5 linked regions of the Canis lupus familiaris genome follow. The protein of the gene in region 1 purifies or fractionates together with the protein of each later gene. This does not show direct contact. Links are inferred from orthologs where the notes say so. Each region holds a gene or a part of one and is shown in the gene's direction. Other genes may lie near its edges.

Evidence for each region.
Region 2: the proteins of PRKAA1 (region 1) and USP10 purify together in Homo sapiens (affinity purification with western blotting; 3 studies listed by BioGRID). This does not show direct contact. The link is inferred for Canis lupus familiaris from reciprocal best matches to the Homo sapiens genes PRKAA1 and USP10.
Region 3: the proteins of PRKAA1 (region 1) and PRKAG2 purify together in Homo sapiens (affinity purification with mass spectrometry; 8 studies listed by BioGRID and IntAct, counting the BioPlex papers as one, with this or other methods). This does not show direct contact. The link is inferred for Canis lupus familiaris from reciprocal best matches to the Homo sapiens genes PRKAA1 and PRKAG2.
Region 4: the proteins of PRKAA1 (region 1) and FKBP5 purify together in Homo sapiens (affinity purification with mass spectrometry; 3 studies listed by BioGRID and IntAct, with this or other methods). This does not show direct contact. The link is inferred for Canis lupus familiaris from reciprocal best matches to the Homo sapiens genes PRKAA1 and FKBP5.
Region 5: the proteins of PRKAA1 (region 1) and PARS2 purify together in Homo sapiens (affinity purification with mass spectrometry; 3 studies listed by BioGRID and IntAct, with this or other methods). This does not show direct contact. The link is inferred for Canis lupus familiaris from reciprocal best matches to the Homo sapiens genes PRKAA1 and PARS2.

The regions. Positions count from the first base shown.
Region 1 is NC_049225.1:69,495,248-69,499,880, forward strand, and holds the start of PRKAA1 (5'-AMP-activated protein kinase catalytic subunit alpha-1), read left to right. Parts: upstream 1-1,754; coding exon 1,755-1,881; intron 1,882-2,312; exon of another isoform or gene 2,313-2,326; coding exon of another isoform or gene 2,327-2,450; intron 2,451-2,526; exon of another isoform or gene 2,527-2,660; intron 2,661-3,132; exon of another isoform or gene 3,133-3,264; intron 3,265-4,633. UniProt on the Homo sapiens protein: Catalytic subunit of AMP-activated protein kinase (AMPK), an energy sensor protein kinase that plays a key role in regulating cellular energy metabolism.
Region 2 is NC_049226.1:68,236,999-68,240,940, reverse strand, and holds part of USP10 (ubiquitin carboxyl-terminal hydrolase 10), read left to right. Parts: intron 1-1,819; coding exon 1,820-1,964; intron 1,965-3,697; coding exon 3,698-3,763; intron 3,764-3,942. UniProt on the Homo sapiens protein: Hydrolase that can remove conjugated ubiquitin from target proteins such as p53/TP53, RPS2/us5, RPS3/us3, RPS10/eS10, BECN1, SNX3 and CFTR.
Region 3 is NC_049237.1:16,510,116-16,514,671, reverse strand, and holds the start of PRKAG2 (5'-AMP-activated protein kinase subunit gamma-2), read left to right. Parts: upstream 1-1,659; 5' UTR 1,660-2,214; coding exon 2,215-2,328; exon of another isoform or gene 2,329-2,456; intron 2,457-4,556. UniProt on the Homo sapiens protein: AMP/ATP-binding subunit of AMP-activated protein kinase (AMPK), an energy sensor protein kinase that plays a key role in regulating cellular energy metabolism.
Region 4 is NC_049233.1:4,937,726-4,941,667, reverse strand, and holds part of FKBP5 (peptidyl-prolyl cis-trans isomerase FKBP5), read left to right. Parts: coding exon 1-58; intron 59-1,008; coding exon 1,009-1,123; intron 1,124-3,942. UniProt on the Homo sapiens protein: Immunophilin protein with PPIase and co-chaperone activities. Component of unligated steroid receptors heterocomplexes through interaction with heat-shock protein 90 (HSP90).
Region 5 is NC_049226.1:54,855,223-54,859,745, forward strand, and holds the start of PARS2 (probable proline--tRNA ligase, mitochondrial), read left to right. Parts: upstream 1-1,631; 5' UTR 1,632-2,088; intron 2,089-2,094; exon of another isoform or gene 2,095-2,293; intron 2,294-4,523. UniProt on the Homo sapiens protein: Mitochondrial aminoacyl-tRNA synthetase that catalyzes the specific attachment of the proline amino acid (aa) to the homologous transfer RNA (tRNA), further participating in protein synthesis.

The DNA.
Region 1 (4,633 bases):
TGATGCAGATTTAAAGTAATTTAAGATGATACTTCAGGGTAAGGAATTAAAGTTTTTCTTTTTCTAAGAGAATCCAGTAATCTATTTCCGCTTTGTAGAGATCCAAGATGCCTGAGATGCAGAAACTCAGGAGGCAACAAGTAAAGATGAAGAGACCACAGAGCAAAAACAGTTACCACTGCCCACTCCCCAAGTATGTTAGTAATCAGACTTCTTAACTTTATGGCCCTTCAGAATATGTGCAGTCCATAATACATCAGAAACTGATTATCCAGGGCTAGTTGTAACTGTTGATGTAATTCTAAACTCAAGCTTTTGCTTCTCTTGCAGTACTTAATGCATGTTATTTTGCTTTCATAAACAGAATATAACAGTCAGACGAGCTGGGTAACTTTGATTAGGTACAAAAAGGATAATACTTTTAGTCTTACTTTTTTATATTATTTTCTCGATGGGTTCAACTCTGCCCATTGACACTGGCCCAAACGCTATCACACTGCAAAACTGAGATCGTATCTTGTTTTTTTGGACACTTCACTTTGCTCACGTCAGTGGAATTCAACTGAGTAGTGAACTGGCTTAAACATTTAACACAGGGACGCCTGGGAGGCTCAGCGGTTGAGCACCTGCCTTTGGCTCAGGGTGTGATCCGAGGATCGAGTCCCACATCGGGCTCCTTGTGGGGAGCCTGCTTCTCCCCCTGCCTGTGTGTCTGCCGCTCTCTGGGTCTCTCCTGAATAAATAAGATCTTTTAAGAAATTTAATACCAACAAGCATATTTCAACTCCTCCCCCCCGCCCCCCCCCCCCCGTGACAGGCCACATCCCATTTGTATAGATGATAGACTAAACTGTACTCATCGCAAGTACGGTAAGTATCTGTCGACTGACTTGGTTGATGCAACCCTAAGCCTCGACTTCAGTTCAAAGTCTACATTTTACCGGAAACCTAAAAATGTTAATTCCTACGTGTGTAACACCCCATTCCTGAGCACACATACCGTTCGCAGGGTTCCCAACCGGCCCTTTCCCACGGGGCTTGCCTGGGGAAGGAAACTTGAGAAAAGCCTCCAGGAGCAGGAAAGCCCGACGACGCCACTAGGGCTGTCGAGGCGCCCGGCGGCAACGGACGGGCTCACGGCACCAAGCGCAGCCGCAGCCGCAGCCGCAGCCGCAGCCGCAGGGGACCGGTGCCGAGGGGGCTCCGTCGGAGATGCTCTCCGTCGGGGCACCTCCCGGGGGCTTCTCAGGTCCATCCGCACCGCAAAAATGAGCAGGCTGGGTGGGAACCGGCGGCCCGGCGCAGTCCCCGGCCGCGTCCCACCGCCCGCGGCGCCGGAGAGCCGCCCGCCCGGCCCCGCCCCGCCCCGGGAGTCGCCGGCAGCGGGGTCGCCGCGGGCAGGACCGGCCGCCGGGGAGCGCAGCCGCCCGCTCCGCAGCCCCGGGGCCCGGGCAGGGCGGGGCGCGGCGCGGCGGCGCGAGGAACCGGGGCTCCGGGGCTCCGAGGCCCCGCGGCCCCGCCGGCGACCCCCGCCGCCCCGCCAGGGGGAGCGTGCGCGCCGGCGCCGGGGCGGGGGAGCGCCGAGGGGGGCGGGGGCCCGGCGGGCGCGGCTGGCGGCGGCGCGGCGGCTCGGCGGCCCGGAGGCCCGGAGGCCCGGCGGCCCGCCCGCGTCCCCTCCCCTCCCCTCCCCGCCCCCGCCCCCGCCCCCGCCCCGGCGCGGCCTGCCCGCCCCCTCCGCCCCCTCCCGCGGCGCCATGCGCAGGCTCAGTTCCTGGAGGAAGATGGCGACGGCCGAGAAGCAGAAACACGACGGGCGGGTGAAGATCGGCCACTACATCCTGGGGGACACGCTGGGGGTCGGCACCTTCGGCAAAGTGAAGGGTGAGGACCGCGGGGGCGAGGGTCGGCGGCGGCCGGCGACCCGCGCGCCGCGCGCCGTCCGCGCCTCTCAGCCCCCGCCCCCCGCCCCGGCGTCCCTGCCCCCCTGCCCCGGGCTCGGCAGCCCCCGGCCTGGCTGCGGCGGCAGCGGCGTCCGAGCGGCCGCGGGACTGCGGCGCGACCCTGCCTGGCCGCGGGGGGGGGGGGGGAGGGGGCGGTCGCCATGGCGACGGCGCCGCGGCCCGAGGGGCTCGGCTCGGCTGGGCGCTGCGTGGGGCGGGGCGGGGCTGCGGAGGTGCGGAGGTGCGGAGGTGCGGACTCGCCCAGGTGGGGCCGGCGGGGCTGCGCCGCCCGGGGGGCCGGGGCGGGGGGCGGGGGTTGGGGGGCGGGGGGCCGGGGCGAGGGCCTCCCGGGGCCCGCGGCCGCTCCCTCGGCTCCGCGCCAGCCCATGGCCCCCCTGGCGGCGCCCGGGGTCGTCCGCGTTTCCGTCCCCTCTAGGAGGTTCTCCCCTTACCTGCCGGGGCCGATTCTTAGTGTGCGATGGGTGCCCCCTCCTCAGCCTCCCCCAGAAAGTAAGCTTGCTTTGGGGTAGCTTACGGAATTTTTTTTTTTTTTTTTTAAAGGGCCATCTTGTTGGGAAGGATGACTAATTTTTGTTCGGAGCAGTTAATGAGTATAAAACTGGTCCTGTATTTGCGATGCACGGTTTATGTTCTGAACGCAGACTCCGTGCCTTCAAGTGTTTCTGAATTACCAGTTTTGCAGACTCTGTGCCAAACTTGGTAGGTAGTGCAGATGTTGCCCCCAGACGGTATTTATTAGCTCATTAACGTAGTTTGTTTCCACTTATTTTCACAGGATATGTGTGTTTTAATAACTTAGCGCACATCATTTGAACTTTTTTTAAGGAAAGTATGGAATCTCTTACCCTTGTGTTTCAACACAGTATTCTAGAAATAACACATTTGATCACGAGTCCACCAATTCTGGCACAAAAAGTTTAATTGCAAATTTTGTGAGGCATAAATATTTTTTCTTTAAGATATTTGACCTATTAGGGATGTAGAGGAAGGAAGCATGGAACTGATAAATATAATTCATGCATTGGCTTTGGATAAATAACCTATGACTTGCATATACCAAGCTCTTGGTAAATGTTTGACTTGAAAGAAAAAAAGTTGTGAAAGTCTGAACAGTGAATTAACTGAGCCTTGCTTTACCGGAGCTAAATAAACATTTTCTGATTTTATCTAGGGATGGAAGAGGAGAACCCTTCCTTCTCTTGCTCTTTCTGAGTCATAGAACTGGAAAATTGCTGTATAGCCCACAGGGAAGCAACTGCCTAAGCCTTCTTATGAAAATCAGCAAGGCCAACAATGTAAGAAAGTAAGAAGCAAATGCCAGAATAGGGTAATAAGAGCCATCAGGGTGGGTCTATATTAGGCCAGTAAGATGTCTCTGTGCCCTCAAAGTTATTTTTAGCTATGTTGTCAGTCTCTTTACTTGTTAGCAATTACTAACTGCTTTTAGTTGACAAATATTTGTAAGAAGTGCTCATTAATGCCCCAGAATAGTGATGACAGTCTTGATGCCCTTATTCCTCCCAGGGTTCTGCTTGGATTAGGATGCTCATCATTCTAATAAAGACCTGTGTAATTCAGGTCTCATATTTGTGTTTGCTAGGTAGCTTTTGGCATGGTGGTAAATAGGAAAGCAAGAGGAGATTTTTCATTTTCTGAATTTGATCTGTGATGTCTGTGACAAGAATCCTTCCAGTGAGTGCTGTTCCTTAGCCTTCATTCTTCCACATGTGCCTCTCTTGAATACTAAATACCATCAACCTCTCCTCTTGTATCATAGAAAAGCTAATATTCATCAAAGAATCAAAGGTTTCATTGATAGGGTTAAATTTGTTCATAAATACATCAGTTGATACTGGTCAAAATCCTCATCCAGTGCATTTTTAAGTTGTCAAGCAGTTGTGATGCTTTTGCTCCAAGTATAGTAATAGAAAATCAACCTAGCCAAGAATATCTCTGTGCTTCTCTCTCCAAAGCACAGAAGCTTCAGCATACCTCTCACGAGTCTCATGGGCTCATCTAGTCCTTGGGACCAGGGATGCCTTGTGCCAATTGGTTTAGGCTTATGTTCCTAAGTAGGTACTCGCAAGGGAGATAGTGTTACCCATGGTGGAATATGGCCCATTGTTGAGTGTGTGTGTGGTGAGGGCATCTTATTCTGATATACTTAGTGGAGGGAGACAGGATAAATACCTATACAGAATGGGTATTAATTGTTAGGAGAGAGAGAGGTGGACATAGATGCTCATTTGAGCAGGTTAAAACAGCTGTTACAATGGTGGTGTTGGTAACTTACACTAGCCTTAATTTGACAGGAATTCTTATGAATGATATGATTAGCCATGTATTTCAATGGAGATAGTTTGGAGTAGATAGAGCTTTTAAAATTAGTTACACGTTGGTAAATATAACATAGGAAAGGAATCTAACAGAATATTAGATATTAGATGATATTAATCTACAATATCATCTAATATTAGATGATATTGATACACAGACAAATTCCCACTATGATATTATATGCTTAGAAGAAATTTTATTTTGGGGGGCAAAGGAAACTATAAATTTGCAGTGATATTTTGTTTCCTATTACAGGCTAAAAAAGTCATTTGGTAACAATGATATCATTGTGAGGGGAAAGTTTAAACAGACTACTAAAGTTGGTTTGGGATTAT
Region 2 (3,942 bases), on another chromosome or scaffold:
TTGCAGGGCAGCTCTCCACCTTTCTCCAGGCTGTGAGAAAGCCAGCTCACTTGCCAGTTTTTCTTTCTTGTTCCTGCTGCAGTTAGCTGTGGACTCTGGGGAGGGCACAGATCAGATAGCTGGGGAGAGTGTGAAGATGAGGATGTGGATTAGGTGGCTCGTTTTGGATAGCAGGTGGAGGAAGGATGCAGGAGAGAAGAAGCATTTTGGTGGAGCCTTGAAGAAAATGAAACACTCCATGATGAGGGTGGTGTGTTACCAGATTAAGAGCGAAAACACTCAGAAAAGCAGATGTTTGAGAGAGGAAGATTTTGGACAGCTTGTATGGGGTGGGAATATCTGGAAAGAGCAAGTATCACGTTTTCTGGAATGTGAATTCTTTTAAATTTACTTTCTAAAATACTGAGTTTAATGTTCCTGTATTTTAAGGTCATAAGGTTTTTTTTTTCCTGTGGGAGAATGATGAAGGTGCATGGGAAAATATTATGTAAAATACTTACTGTATAGAAAAGGTCTGGTTTTCTTGGGCGAAGAAAAGTGTCTCAGTTTGTCTGGAAACCGAAAACACACAGAAGAATTTCAGATTAGCCACTTAATTAATTGCCTGAAAGCTTGAGGTCAGAATCTTGGGTTGCCAGTCCTGAGAAGCATCCTAGAGACACGTTTGTCCAACTCTCGATTCACAAATGAGGGAGCTGGAGATCACTTGTCAGAATCCCGGTTTTTAACTGTTGAGCTGTAGCCACACTTCTTCATTGTTCACATGTTCTTGTTGGCTATGGAGACCCCAGGTTGCAGACACAGGATAGGAATCTGGAGACATGTTGGGTGGTCCCACCCTTGGGATCGGAATCTGGGTAGGAAGCCAGGTGCCCATTAAGATCCCTCCATCCAGATGTGTATGTGGTCTTCTGAAAGCTTTCTTGGTTTCTTATCTCTTTTGGATTGTGACTGAAACAAATATTTCTACCAAAAGTATCCTTCATATAAATACAGGAAGCATCAAAGTGTTTATAAGTACAAGGAGCATGGGCAGCCCTGATGGCTCAGCAGTTTAGCGCCACCTTCAGCCTGGGGTGTGATCTGGAGACCCGAGATCGAGTTCCATGTCGGGCTTTCTGCATGGAGCCTGCTTCTCCCTCTGCCTGTGTCTCAGCCTCTCTGTCTGTCTGTTATGAATAAATAAATAAAATCTTAAAAAAAAATAAGTACAAGGAGCAGTAGGATAGTAAACAAGGGGAATAAGAATTGTTTGCAAGGATGTGTTTTAATGAAAAGCAGCATTCATTAGACCTGTGAAAACATGTAAGGAGCATATAAGTTGATAAAACTGAAACTTATAAAAACTAATGGCTAGAATTGATAGCTTTTTGGTTATTAAGAACACCCATTTCGAGCTCTGGCCTTAGTTTGATTAATGCTATGGGACTTACTAAAGAAAGCATGTTAATACATACATAATGCAAAATACTGCTGCTAAGTTCGTTTTTAAATTTTTGTGCCAGTTCATGAATGTCATAAAACAAAGGTTCTGAACATGGAGTTCACCCACAGGCTCAGGGATCCATGGGATCTTCTGCAATTGTGTTTATAGGGATGTATCCTTTTTTCTCAGAGGAATGTCAGTAGCTCTCAAAAGGCCCTTGAGCAGAATGTTAGATTATCAGAAGCTCCCTGAACCCAGCAAGGGTTGAGCAGTGCTGCCCTGGAACCTCAGGCCATGGGCCCTCAGAGGGGGGCCTTGTGTGACAGGTATGCATCTGCTGCATGAAGTGTGTAAAGTGAGGTGTGTCCTGTCCTGCTCTGCCTTGTGCCTCAGGTGGAGATAAGCCGACGAGTAACTCTGGAGAAGCTCCCTCCTGTTCTTGTGCTGCACCTGAAACGGTTTGTTTACGAGAAGACTGGTGGATGCCAGAAGCTCATAAAAAATATTGAATATCCTGTGGACTTGGAAATCAGTAAAGGTAACACACGTGGGGAGCGAAAGCATTCATGGTGACAGTTCTCCTGGGAATCAGTGAGCATGGCTCTTAGCGTTTCTCTGTAATGTCGAGAGTAAGGAAGTTCTCTGTCATGACTTGTTGGTTTTAAATTTCTCAACTTACAACAGACCTTGGTATTAAAATTGGCACCAAAGTAGCTCTTGAAAAATAAAGGCAAAAATGAATAAACCATATAATCCTACTAAGTTAGAAAAAGGAGATTTTTGTTCATCAAAGTGAGCACCATTTTCCTAGAAATGTTTTATGGGTTAGTGGTACAAAACAATTTTCTTTTTACTAAGTGTTAACTGCCTAGAACAGCCTGGTGAAATGAACTTTTTCAGTGAAGTGAGAGAATGTTGCCCATAGGCCACTGGGGGTCCCTCCAACCTCACATTGCAGTGACACTGGGTCAGATCAGTGGCATTCTCTCTGCCACAAGCATCTGTCAGGTACTCAGAGCTCAGCAGCATCAATGATTTTCACCAAAGCCTCAAGTTCAGGTTGTCTTGGTGAAAGCACAGCTTAAAGAGGAAAACTTTCCTTGAAAGCTTCAGGATTCGTGAAAAAGATGCTGTGTGGTTCTGGGCTTGATTGGGAACAAACTAGAGGCTTGTTCTAGTCAACTGGGAAACAGGAAAGAGATTGTGGGAATGTCATCTCTGGGTTTTGCAGAGGAACAAAGCTGTTGCCTTCCCCTCGTCTTCCATCCCTGCCACACAGTATTGCCACATTCCACTCCTTCCCAAGCCTGCTGACCAGAATCCCAGACAGAGGAGCTGCATTTCCATAGCCAGTCTTCAGCTGCTAGCTCTGACTCCTGTCCCAGGGTATTGTCCCATCCACCTTCACACTTTGAACTGCTTCATTCAAAGGCAGCACATTTTCCTGATCCCATTTGAGAACCAAAGGAGAAGGAATGCCAGCTGAGAATCATATACTGGGTCGTCCATGCTGTTGTGCCTTGGCTGTCAGGGAATGAGGAGCACAGGCTGAGCCCAACAGGGCAGCCTGTGCCCTGTACTCCTGCAGCTTCCCTCACGCCCAGATTACCTGTCTGGACTGACTAGATGGATTTTATGTTTATATCTTTTCTTGTTAGATGTATTTTTAGATCACCTGCTACCTTAAATGCTTTCTAGAAAGAGAAATGAGTTAAGGGAGGACCAGAGACCCTACCCTGGTGTGGGTTGTGGGTGGGGGATGGGAGGGACCAGCCACTCATGGCTGTGACAAGGGTCCATCTGCAGAGGGACCGGGGGCCCCCGAGGACAGGGCTGCCCACCTGCCCAGCTGATGGGCCATTGCCTCTCTGGTGAGATCGTCGGACTGTCACACAGTGCAAGTTTTGTGGTCTTATGTGTAAAACATTTCGTTCTTAGGTTTCCTGGGGCTGTTTTATTTCTAAGCGGGCAGCTTTCTTCTTTTCCAAATATCTGCTTTTAAGGGGTTTCTAGCATGAGCTCCTTGGGACCGGTATATTCTTTCTGAACGGACTGGTTGCTGGTTATGTGCATTGCTGTACCATGAGGCTGGTCCCCCACCCCCCACCACAGGCAGGGCTTGTGCACGTGAGGGGATACAGTGGGGTTGGTTTTCCTGGTCTGCCAGGTGGCGGATGTGAATGGGGACCATTGTCATCTCTTTGCTCTGTCATTCTGAGACTTTCTTTAAGTGCTTTTATAGATTGCAGCTGTTGGTATTTTGTTTTTCAGAACTGCTTTCTCCAGGGGTTAAAAATAAGAATTTTAAATGCCACAGAACCTATAGGCTATTTGCAGGTAAGTAAATTTGTATATTATTTCCTTATTAAAGTAGTGATAAAATGCCACCTAACAGAGAGAATAGACTCCTCTACTGGTGTCCCCATGGACTTGATAATTCAGTAAATCTTTGGAAATATGTTTGTCTTGACATTCGATGTTTGGAATAGGACAGAATTTTTGGCTCTAAGCAGGAT
Region 3 (4,556 bases), on another chromosome or scaffold:
TCTAGTCGAACGGAGTGATTTCCACACCCTGGAAAATTATTATTACTGTGATAGGGATTAAAAATGGGAAGCTAAAGAGATGAAGTTTAAGTGACACTTGGGGAGGAATTCTGAGCGGGTAAGGGTGGGTTCCCTTGGTTGCATAGGTAAGGAACCCCCCCCCCCTCCTTTTCTAACCAGTATTTCCAGCATTTAGGGAAATAAAGGGCCCTAAATGGGCAGTCTCATGTCCCCCCCTCCCCCACCAGCCAGTCAGAAAAAGGTCAAAGTGTGAAATTCCACACCTTGCAGGGCCAGGTTGGCCAATTGATTTTTGAACCCACACCCCCCGCCCCGGGGCATTTCAAATTTATGTCAAGCAAGGAGTCCTCCAAGATTTTCCAGTCTGGCTTCATTCTGGCCTGAAGAGCAGGGGAGAAAAAGGAACCACCTAGACCGCAGGGGATTTCACACCAGATGATGGAAGGAGGACTGGAAAGAGCACAGGAAAGACGGCTGGAACCACTGGCTGCGGGCTGGCTGGGTGGGAGGCGCCACCAGAGGAGTGTCGTCTCCCCCCTCCCCCGCCCCCACCCCGAGGGCGGGCGGGCGAACCCCTCCCCCCCTGAGGAGGGGGCTCAAGTCTCCGCACCTGGGCAGGAGTTAAGGCCCGCTCTTCTCCCGTGGCCTTCCTGATTTACTGCTTAGGAGGAGAGGCGGGACCGACGTCAGCATTCGGGGCGCTCCAGGGACTTTTGGGGTCACTATGTCCTCAGAACCTAGGGCGGGAAAGGAGACGTCTCCACTGCGCATTCCCCCTGCTGCCAGCCGCCCGGGGGGGGCCGAGGTCGCAGCACCCTGGGGCGCTCGCAGGGGGACGCCAGCACCCAAGCCCCTCGGCAACGCGCCGCGCCCGAGCGGCCACGCGGCGGCACGTGGCGGCCTCGCCCGGGGCTGCCGGCCCTCTCCGCGCCGCGGCCCGGGAACTCCACGCCGGCTCCAACCGCCCATCACTGCGCAGCTCTCGGCGAACCCGGGAGAAGCCGGGAGCCGGTGGGGGGCAGGGGGACCGTGAAAAGCTGCTCTCCCCAGCTACGCCGACCGCGCCCCGGGGCGCACTGGAGTCCGCACGCCAGGCGGAGACCGACCCGGGGGCCGCGGGGGTCCCGGAAACAAGTGCGGGTCAGTGCGCATCCCCCGCCAGCCGGGGCTTCCGCCGCTGCGGGGATGGCGGGGCGGGGCGCGGGCGTGTTTCAGGGGCGCTGGGACACGGAATGCATCAGACCCGCGCGCCCGCCGCTCCCGCGCCGCCGCGGCCGCGGGGGAGGGAAGGGGAGGGGAGCCGCCGCCCGCGGGGCCGGAGACCCGGGGGCGGCCGGGGCGGCGGGGGGAGCGGGCGGGCGGCGCGCGCCGTGCACTTCCTGTTCGGGGCACGCGGCCTCCGGGCGCTCCGCGCTCGCCGAGCCTGCGTCCGGGCCGCGCCGCCCCTGGCCGCCGGCTCCCGTCCCCCGTCCCCCGTCCCCGCGCCGCAGCGGGCGCGCCCTCCGCCTGCCGGGCCCGCGAGCCCAGCCGCCGCCAGCCCTCGTGCGCGCAGCCGAGCCGGAGCCCAGTTGCCGGGGCGTTCGCGGGGACGCCTCCTCCTCCCTCCCCCCCCTCCCCCCTCGCGCCCAGAAGGGGGACGGGCCGAGTCCCAGGCTCCCGGCTGGCGCATTCTGCGGCCGAGGATTCTATTTGCACACAAACTGTCGGCTCTGGCCAGCTTGTCCGCCTCGGCGCGGGCACGGGAGGGCTGTCTTCCCGGTTGCGGTCTTCACCTGCACCTGCCTTTCAGATTACCTCTGGGCGTCCGTGGGCGGAGCTGAGAGGGGGGAAAATGTTGCTTCGCCTTGCAAAAGGAAGAAAACTTTGTCACCCAGCGGGAGACCTCTGCCACGCGTAACCCGGAGGGACAGCGGAGCCAGGACCGCCTTTGGCTTTGGTTTTGCATCGCTGAGCCCGTGAGGAGGAAGGGGACACGTGAACTCCGCGCTCTCGCCGCCCGCCATCCCTGCCGGCGGCGGCGGCCGGAGGTACCTGCGCCACCTTCCCTCCCCGCGGAAGTCCCCGCGCCGTGTCCTCGGGGTGGAAGGACGGTCGCGAAGAGCGCGCGGCTCGAGGCCGGCCGCGGGGGCCGGCGAGGAAGGAGAGGACGCGACTGCAGGACGAGGCACCCGGAATTAACTTCTGGCTAAAGTTATGGGAAGCGCGGCCATGGACACCAAGAAGAAAAAAGATGTTTCCAGCCCCGGCGGGAGCGGCGGGAAGAAAAACCCGAGCCAGAAGCGGCGTTCGCTGCGAGTGCACATTCCGGTGAGTGCAGGCAGCGCGGTCCCCGCTCCCGCCCTCGCGCCGCCGTCGTCCGCCCCGGCGCCGAAGCGGTTAAGGCGGGACGCCCCGCGCGCGCCAAGCGTGCCCCTCCTGTCACTTCGGGCGCTCGGGGGTGGGTGGCGGCGCAGGGTCGCGCTGGGCCGCCGAGCCCGGGCTGCGTCTCCCTGCCCAGCTGCGCGCGGCCGGGGCTCGGCGAGCGGCGGGGGCGCGGGGCGCGGGGCGCGGCTGGGGCGGGCTGGGCGTAGCCCCGAATCCCGCCCGGTGCGGGTGCTGGGGGCGGTGCGTAGTGTTGTTTTGTTGAAAAAGGACGGTGTGGACTGCGCTTCGGAGAGGTGGAGCCGCGCGCGGCTGCCGGGGACGCAGGGGAGGGGCGGTGGGCGGGGACAGCGGGCGGGGTGTGTGTGTGTGTGTGTGTGTGTGTGTGTGTGTGTGTGTGTAGCTGTGTGCGTAGCTGCGCCCCCAAATGGACCTTTCTTCTCTCGGATTCCTCTCCGAGTGTGCCTGCGCCCGGGGCCCGGGGCCCGGAGCTGCTCTGCCCACCCCCCGCCCCCGGGAAGCACATTTCGGGCTTTTGGAGACTTGGGGTTCCCCCAGGCGTGCAGAGCTACAGCGAACTTCAGCCCCGGCCACGCCGGCAGCCCTGCCTGGACTTTGGTGGCATCGATCGGTCCGCGGCTACTTTGTCCGTCGCGAGGGAGCGCCGGGCGGGGTCGTGCGCCCACCCTGGGGTTTTGCAACCCGAGCAGCGGGTGGTGGCCTTCTCCGGCCTCCCTACGAGCAAGTCAGGTGGGAGGACGTGCGGCGCAGCCCTTACTTGGGCCCTAAGGAGACCCCCAACTGGGTCAAGCCCCTGGTCCCCAACCACCACCCAGTGAATGTTTGTCCAAACAGGTACATGCAGATGCACACACGCACACACATACACAAAGAGTAGAGGAATCCATGAAGAATGTGATTTTGTTTGTTCTCGGGCCTGGGCACGGGGTGGGAGTGCACAGTGGATCCCTCTCTCTGAAAGCTGCTGCAGACTGGGCAAACTGGGCAGGACTGGGGTGGTGCTGCCTGCCTGTTCACTTCCCACTGCAGAACCCATTAGGTGCTTTGCTTCCGTGTTTATTGATCGCAGCTCCTTTGCCTTCCATGTGTGCACACGTTTGGGTAAAGAAGGTCTCAGCCTGAAGATGAGGGGTTAGCCAGCCCTCCCTTTCACGGGGGAGCTCAGGGTGCGGGTAACCAGCTGCTGTGTGGCTACCAGGGTGGTGACCCAAATATGCAAGAATGAGCATTCTATTTTAGAATGAGTTGTTTTTGTTTACGTTGCTAAGATAATTAACAGATATTTTTAAGCCATATTGTACATGAAAAATTAGGCATAATATACCAGGAACGCTGATTGCTTGAGCGAGCCCTTCACTTGGTTTCTCCCATTTGTCAGAGATAAGAATTTGCTTTGCCTACCTCATGGGGATGTCAAACTAAAATAAGTCATGGGAAAATTCTTGCATATTTAAAGTATTATATATATGTATGGCTATCATGGTGACATCAGAGCAACTGGTTTTAGAAGGAGAGATCTAGAGAAAAGAAAGTGACACCGCCTGGTGGCAGGCCATATTGTACTGAGGTGGAGTGGCCAGGCTGGTTCCAGATGCCGCGTGGGGTGTGTGTGTGGGGCCCCTGCAGCAGTGGTGTTAGTGGTTAGTGTGAGATAAAATCCAGAACCCAGAAAAGGAGTAAGAGGCCATGCTGTGAGAGTAGAAAGGCCATAGTGTAGTTGGAATACACTGACCACCCCTCTTGCTGTTGGATGTGATTTTGGCTGCTTAAAACAAACTTCTGGCATGACCCATCCTTTACCCAAAGTGGTGTTCACTCAATTATCCCACAACACGTGTCTAGTACTCTTGATTGGTGGTGAGATCTAGGGGTGCAAGGGAGTGGCTCTGCCTCCCTCCTTATAGGGCTTGTGTTTGCTGGTGGGACCAGGGGGTCTTCTCAGTGACCATCTAGTAATTGCCTGTTGCTGACTGTGTTGGGCTAGGTGAGAGCCTCTAGAGTTAGACTCTGGACTCTAGTTAGACTCTAGCTAGGTGAGAGACTGGCATTCAGACAAATGCTAGTACATGACCCAAGGGCATCAGATGACCAGTGCTTTTAGAGGGGAAAGTGGGTGAGATGACAGCAGACTGGCATGTTGGGAGAGACATCAG
Region 4 (3,942 bases), on another chromosome or scaffold:
ATATGGCTCTGCTGGCAGTCTCCCTAAAATTCCCTCGAATGCAACTCTCTTTTTTGAGGTAAGTATGTGTGTGATGTTGCCTTTTTAGCATCTGTTCTACTATAGTGCTGGCTCTGAAGCAACAGGCAGTGGAACAAGGAGCTAAGCTTGCTATTGAGGATCAGATCCGACTTATTTATTTTGGAGCTTGGCTTCTTGAATTGTTTCCCACAAACCCAAGGGGTGTGTGCCAATGCTTTCTTAGAAACGTGTTTCTGGCACAGAAAAGTTATATCCAAATAAACAAAAGACACCAGGCTTGAGAAATAAAGGTTCTGGTCAGTGGTGTGAGTATAACATACCCAAAATTGACCAGAAAACAGGTTGGAAATGTGGGAGGTAAGTGTTGAAATGTACTGAAACCACATTGTAAGATATTTTCATGTTATACAGGCTTACTGTTTGTCACAGATCTCACTTCTTCATTAGAAGCTGTAGGTGGTGATAATGTTATTCATCCTGTATTGAATTATATATATATTTGTCAAGATCTGACTTAAAAAATGAAGGGAGGAAATGCCTGAAACATCATAATTAGGTAAAAAAAAACACCTTTAGTTGTCCATAAGCCTGATTCATAGGATTTATTTTTACATTTAAAAAGGGAATTCCATGAATCTGGGCTGGAAAGGTGGTGGCCTTTAGAGTCCGACAAAATAGTTCTGGGCCAGCACCTTGGAGCTCTGGCTTTTTGCCCACAAGGCAGCCCTCCTAGTGTTTCCTGTCTGTCTTTGCACTGCAGTCCCACAGGATGCAGTCCTAGACATTATCATTACATGAAGGCTCTTTCCAGGTATTGAAAGTGCAGTGTTCTTTTTTTCCTACTTTTCCAATAACTGAGATACATAGATAAATATAAAAGAGTTTTATTTTGTAAAATGAAAGGAGAATTGGTTGCCCTTGTTTTTAAGTATGTTAAATTGGCTCTGTTTGGTTTTTTCTCAGCCAAATCCTTTTTTTCCTTTCTAGATTGAGCTCCTTGATTTCAAAGGAGAAGATTTATTTGAAGATGGAGGCATTATCCGAAGAATCAAACAGAAAGGAGAAGGATATTCAAACCCAAATGAAGGAGCAACAGTAGAAAGTAAGTATCGCTGTGACAGTGAACTGGTCCTTAAAAATTGGGTTCCATTTATAGGGAGAAAAGGGAGGTTTCTTTCTAAAAATCTATTTATAGCAATAAACAATTGAATATAGCCCGAGAATAGTTTTAAATTCAACATTTATTTAATACTGACTTTATTTGGTAAATATTTATCTAGCATGCCCATGCCAGGTACTGTGCGAGCTTCTGCAGACCCAGAAGGTGAGGAAAAGGTAATCTTATCCATCAAGTCCCAAGTCTATTATGGACTCCTTGGTGTGCCAGCAACTATATTAGCTGCCTTACATATTTATTCATTTATTTCTTAAAATAACCTTACGAGATAAAATTTATTATCTCCAGATGAGGAAAATGAGTTCAGGAAAGTTATATAAATTGCACAGAGTACAGAGTTCTAAACAGAGCAGTTAGATTATAATGCCATTCAGAGCTCTCAAACCCATCTCACTGGCTTTCCTCAAGGTCAAAAAGTTTATTTTAGTTAGATCATAATTGATAATAGTGTTCATTCTATTCTGTGTAGGAAATCTGGGTTCAGGTTGCTTTGCCATTTACTGGATGACTTAAAGCTATTCTGTGTTTTTATTTGCTGTGTTGGGAATAAGGAGATACTGTCGAGGACTGGGATACCCAGTCACTCTTTGTTCCTCCCAGAGCCTGTTCTGTATACCATTATGTACATCACTTGCCACTTTATGCTGTAATCAGTGTTTACCCATTTCCCCAGTATGCACCTTGAGGACCAGAATCTTTCTTCATCTTTTTGTTTCCAGCATCACCTACAGGGCCTTACATGCATTTGGTGTTCGGTAGATGCTTTCTGCGTGGATAGATGTTTGAAAGATGCCATTCATTTGCTTCATAAAGCTGAAATACTTTAAAAAGGAGAGTTGTGAGAAAACAGAAATATTTCCACTAAGAAAACAATCAAAGCACTAAACAAGGGTGGCAATATGAACTATTATAAAAGGCCTATTTAAAATAGAGTCCAGGGTGCCTGGGTGGCTCAGTCAGTTGAGCATCTGCTTTCAGCTCAGGTCATGATCCTGGGGTCCTGGGATTGAGCCCCATATCAGGCTCTCTGCTCAGTGGAGAGTCTCCTTCTCCCTCTCCTTCTACCCTTCCCCCTGTTCATGTTCACTCTCTCTCTCTCTTGCTCTCAAATAAAATCTTAAAAAAAAATAAAAATAAGTTAGAGTTCCTTTGGAACAGTAAGCTAGAATGGTTGATTTTCTTATCTTTACTGTAGTATTTATTATTTGAGACCCGTGTTTCATTTTGGGGAGTCTGGAAGATTAGTTCAAATGGAGTTATTCATTTAGGTGGAAACAATTATAAATAGTATTACTATATTATTGCAGTTGAAATGTTTAGGTAGCTATCATTCATGGTAAGTTTTAGAATAAACGAAGAGGAGCTCAGATGTTAGAGAAATACATAGACCAGTAGTCAGAGAGAGGATTCTGGCTTCAGCGGACTCTAACTAACCCTTGAGTCTCTGGGCTTTAGCTTCCTTTCTTTACAGTGATCCTGTAGGTCCTGCTAGCACTGAGCATTCCATGATAGAATTCTAAATGTTTATGAAAGTCACAAGGATGATAGAAAATTATCTTTAGCAAGTACGTGAAAAGATTATCTATACTACACATTTTAATTTTTTAATGAAAAATTTCAGGCATATACAAAAATGGAGATTTTTCCCTATGTTACAGTTACTCCTCAGATTCAACAGTTTATAATGTATATTTCTAAACTGGAGGATTTTGGTAACCAAATTAAAAGGAAAAACTTTTCCCAGTTATAAACAATGCCGCAAAGCTACCACTGCAGAGTTAACTTTGGGGCAGGCTAAATTAAATCAGATCTTGCTTTTAGTAGTATTTTCAGTGGGAATCTTTATTTTCAACTTTCTGTTTTAAAATAATTTTCAACTTACAAACTGTGAAACTAGTACAGAGAATTTTCTTATATGCTTCAAGCTTTTCCTAATGTTCACATCATCCCTCACCACAGTACATTTATCAAAATCAGGAAATTAACAAGGAGCAATACTATTAACTGTTCTACAGATCTTAGGTGAGTTTCATCAGTTCCCACACTGATGTCCTTTTTCTGGTCCATGGTCAGATTCAGGATCTACTGTGATATGTAGTCTCTCCAGTCTGAGACAGTTGGATCAGTCTTTCTGTGATTTTCATTATTTTAGCACTTTTGAAGACAACCGTCTGGTTATAAAATATACTTCAGTTTGGGTTTGTCTGATTAGATTGAAGTTACACATTTTTTGGAAAAATATCATATAAGCAATAGTGTGCCTTTCTCAGTTCAATCATTATCAGGAGACATGTGATAGTGATGATGTAACTTGGGTCCCTTGGTTAAGGTGGGATCTGCCAAGTTCTGCTTTGTAAAATTTCCTATTTTTGCCTTTCTAAGTATCTCATTGGGAGAGAACTACTAGGAGATGGATGATCCCAAGATCTTCTTTTACATTACACCTTAACAGTGATTTTAGCATCCATGAATGATTTTTTTTCCCCATGGATGACTTTTGTATGCAACGGTTATAACTGTAGTATTTGCCTAATGGTGATTTTTCTATTTCCATTGTTCCTTCTTCAATGTAATTGGAATTCTGCTATAAGGAGGGGTTTCTCCTCCCCTATTTATTCAGTTGTTTATAATAGTATGGACTCATGGGAGTTTATTTTATTCTGTAGGTTATTATTCATTGCTATCTTATTTATGTTGTTGCTCAAATTGTCCCAAGTTTGGTCATTAGAAAGTGCTTTTCAACA
Region 5 (4,523 bases), on another chromosome or scaffold:
ATTGCAACCACTCTACATCCAGTCCATTCCCTTTTCATAGTTAATTTTTTTTCTATGCATGGATACTGATGGATTCTGTATTTAAAACTTTTGTATTTTGTTCACCACGGATTTTTACATTAATTTTGGGTTTTTTTAGATTAACTGCATAAAAATACTACTTTGGTTACTGAGTTCCTGGTCCCCTCCTAAATTTCACTGTATTAATTATATGGACTCTTTTCACTAGAATGTAAGAAAGCAGGGAACTTTGTTCTATTCCCAGTTTCTCCAAGTGGTTGGTATGTGGTAGCTAATCAAAAAAGTATTTTGAGGGATCCCTGGGTGGCTCAGCGGTTAAGCCACTACCTTTGGCTCAGGGCCTGATCCTGGAGTCCCGGGATTGAGTCTGATGTCGGGCTCCCCTGCATGGAGCCTGCTTCTCCTTCCTCTTCCTGTCTCTGCCTCTCTCTGTGTCTCCTATGAATAAATAAAATCTTTAAAAATTAAAATATATATATATATTTGGGAATGAACATTTGATTTAGTGTCTTAAAAACTGTCTTGGGCTTTGTAATGAAGGTATTTTTTTTTCTACTTAAAAATTTTAAATGGGGGGGGGGGGTTACCTGGGTGGCTCAGTGGTTGAGCGTCTGCCTTTGGCTCAGGTCATGCTCCCGGAGGCCCAGGATCAAGTCCCACGTCAGGCTCCCTGCAGGAAGCCTGCTTCTCCCTCTGCCTGTGTCCCTGCCTCTCTCATGAATAATTACATAAAATCTTTTAAAAAACATTTTTTTTTCTAATGGGGGTGCCCAGTGGCTCAGTCGGTCAAGCGTCTGCCTTCAGCTCTGATCACGACCGCAGAGTCCTGGGATGGAGCCCAGAATTGCATGGGGCTCCTCGCTGAGCAGGGAGTCAGCTTCTCCCTCTTGCTCTGTCGCTCCCGATTTGCGCTTTCTCTTGCTCGCACAGTCTCAAATAAATAAATAAAATCCTTAACAATTTTAAATGCATTTAAGTGGAAAGCCTGGGGCAGCCCCGGTGGCGCAGCGGTTTGGCGCCGCCTGCAGCCCGGGGCGTGATCCTGGAGTCCCGGGATCGAGTCCCACGTCGGGCTCCCTGCATGGAGCCTGCTCCTCCCTCTGCCTGTGTCTCTGCCTCTCCCTCTCTCTATGTGTGTCTATGAATAAATGAATAAAATCTTAAAAAAAAAGTGGAAAGCCTGTGAAGTCCCAGGGTAGATTCCGACCGGAAAGGCTCACTGCCGGCGGCCGTCCCACTCCAAGAGCGGGGCGCCACGCCACGCCACCCACGCCGCGCCAGGCTCTTACCATAGAGTTACACCTCCCCAAGTCCTAGAGGGGACTTCCGGAACGGTAATTTACTCCTCGCTGTCCCGGTCTATCTATGGTCGTGGAGGAGAGCGGGGCTCTAGCTCCCTCGCTCAACTTCCGGAAGGCCTGTCCCGCGCGCCTGGCTCCCCGTGGGAGCGGCTCTCTGATTGGCACGGCGGCCAGGAGGCGGGGCTTGGCACCCCGCTGGCGCAGGCGCGTTGGGCCGGCGCGGCGGGCGCGCGGGCGGGCGGCGTTGACTGCGGCCTGGGCTGGTGAGCTTGGGTGGCCGCGAGGATCGGGCGGGCCCGGTGGGGCCGGCGGGGTGGAGAGCGCGCTCGGGCTCGGGCTCGGCTGTGAGCGCGGAGACCGAGGACCGCGGGGGCGGCGCGTCCACGTGCATCCCGTCGCGGCTGTGCGGCGCGGTCGCAGTCGCCTGAACTCTCGGATAACAGCGCTTCCTGCGTGGAGGACCTCGGGCCTTGGGGGCCACGGCGTTCCTGGGAGCGCCAGCCCTGCAGGGACCCGCTGGGAGCGCGTGGGGGCCGGGCCGACGCCCCCTCCCCCCATCTTACGTGTGGGGAGACCGAGACCCCGAGACCGAAGTTGGTTGAGCAGGGCCAGCCGGCCAGTGAAGGCCGGGCCGCGTCGGGAGAACGAGGTCTGGGGCTCCTTTGCTGTCCCAGACGGACACCGTGGAAACCGGGAGGCGGGGAGCTCCTTCCCGTGCTCCTCTGCTCCTCTGCAGTGACCTGGCCTCCCCGAGCTTGCCTCTTGGGTGAGCTGCGCAGGAGGGCAATAGCTAGCACGGTGGCGCTCGCTCTGTACCAGGAGCCTCACGTACAGCTTTGCTGGTTGGATTGCAGGCCCGCGTCAAGTTCACCCTGCAAGAGGCCTGTGCCTCGAGCACCCGAGCAGCTGCTCCGTGAAAGTTTGTTGAATGAATGACTGAGTGACTCAGAGGCTCTTTGCCAGAGTCTGAGGTGCAGGACACATTAATTCCTTTTTTTTTTACTGGGGGCACCTGGGTGGTTCAGTGGTTGAGCATCTGCCTTCGGCTCAGATGGTCATCCCCGGGTCCTGGGATCGAGTCCCACATCGGGCTCCCTACGAGGAGCCTGCTTCTTCCTCTGCCTATGTCTCTGCCTGTGTGTCTCTCATGAATAAATAAATAAAACGTTTTTTTAAAAAAAGATTTTATCTCCTACAAGAGAATGCACATAAGCAGAGGGAGCAGGAGAGGGAGAAGCAGGCTCCCCACTGAGCAGGGAGCTGGGTGATGCGGGACTCCGTCCTACGACCCTGGGATCATGACCTGAGCCAAAAGCAAATGCTTAACGGATTGAGCCACCCAGATTGCCAGGTCCCCTGACACATTCATTCCTATACTGCTTTCAAGGTACTGTCTGTAGATAACCTTGAACATTTGAGACGAGTAATTTATTCCCCCATCTTTGTAAGCTGAGGGGTCTGAGGACAGGGACACATTGGGGGTGAGGACAGAAGGCTTAAGGCTTTTATTTAAACTACCTGGATAATTGCCGCATTGCACTCCTTCACTTTGCTTTTCATTCACTTTTGATCAGCAAGCGTTATTAGTAGTAGCCCAAATATTAGGCGTTGTGCTAGACCCTGAAATCTGACAATATAGAAAATATCATGAACTCCTCATTTGATGGAGGAATAGGACGGGAAGCATTGCTCACTCCCAGTGCCTGGGAACAGCAGTTTCTCAGAAAAGTTTTTGAAAATTATTCCGGTGCAGTAGACTATGAAGAGGTGGGGGCACAGAGAAGGAAGTGATCATCTCTGTTTCGAGGGGTTGGAGAAGCTTCTTGCGAAAAGGAGCCTTGAATGATGCAGCTGACTGGGGTGAAGCTGGCCTCTTCGGGAATGATGAGCAGTTTGGAGCATGTTAGGAGAGTGGTAGGATAAGAAGCTGGAAGAAGCTGGAAGTGTGTTAGAATCAAAATATGAAGAGGCTTCCTCTGGAAGTACCATTTCAAAAAAATTATGATGGGGAGCCATTAATGGGTTATAAGCAAGGGAGTGATTGGATTAGCTGTCTTTTTAGCTGTAATATAGAGACAGGACAGACGGGTTCAAGAGTCATTCAGTTCAGTCATTGATGGGCATGTATTGAGGATCAACTATGTGCAGGCATCATGTGGGATGTTACTTGGAATAAGACAGATATGGTTACTGCCCACGTGGAGTTTATAGTGCTTTTCCCAGAGTGGTCCCTGGGCCAACAGTAGCAGCATCACCTGGAAACGTGTTGGAATTACAGTTTCTCTGCCCACACCCCAGGCCCACTGAATCAGAAACTCTGGGGCTGAGGCCCCACAATCAATGTTTTAACAAGTCATCCAGGTGATTCTGTTGCTCACTTAAGTTTCACAACCACTGGGCTACTGTAATGGACCAAGCAGTTGTGAGGAGCTAACCCAGGGTAGAGGCAGTAAGAGCCAGAAAAGAGGGGGGTGGACTTGAGAGGAAGATCAAAGATGGGCTCATCTGCTTTAGGAGGAGTCAATGGTGAAGGAGTTTTTGGTGTGGGCCCCTGGCCTGAGGTGGGACCTGAAATGAGGGAGCCGGATGTGAACCATGTGTTCTTAACCTTCGGGGCCTGCACTTTTCCACTCAGGCACATTAGAGCTCTGTGGTAGTGCCTCCCAACCTGCCTCCGGCCACAGGCCACGTAGATGATAATATTTGTACCGTGCATGGGGGAAATGGGTGAGGCTGCCCGAGGTGGCAGGGGACCAGCCGGAGGCCTTGAAGCCACTGGGAAGCTATGGGGGGCCGCCCAGGGGTTCCCCAGAGCTGAGAGGAGTCAGCAACCCATTGCCAGCATACTGCAGGGCAGCCCTACTTCATGGGAGATGCTAAAAGGTAGCGGCGCTCGCTGAACTTGGCAATATAAATCAAGAACCTTAAAAGAGTTCATATGTGTTGACTCAGTGATTCCATTCCTGAGAATCTCTGCCAGATGTACAACAAACAAACAAAAGCCTTCTGTTCATTGTAGATTATATATAACAGAGAAAATGACAACTCTCTGTAGTAGGAGAATCATGTCTGATATGCTCAGTAGAATGTTGTACTGACATCAAGAATGTGAGCATTTTGTAGAATCCTAGAGAAACACATATGCTCATTCAGAAGACAGTGTCTAGGAAAGCCCTGCCCCATGCTGAGTGGCAAGCAAGT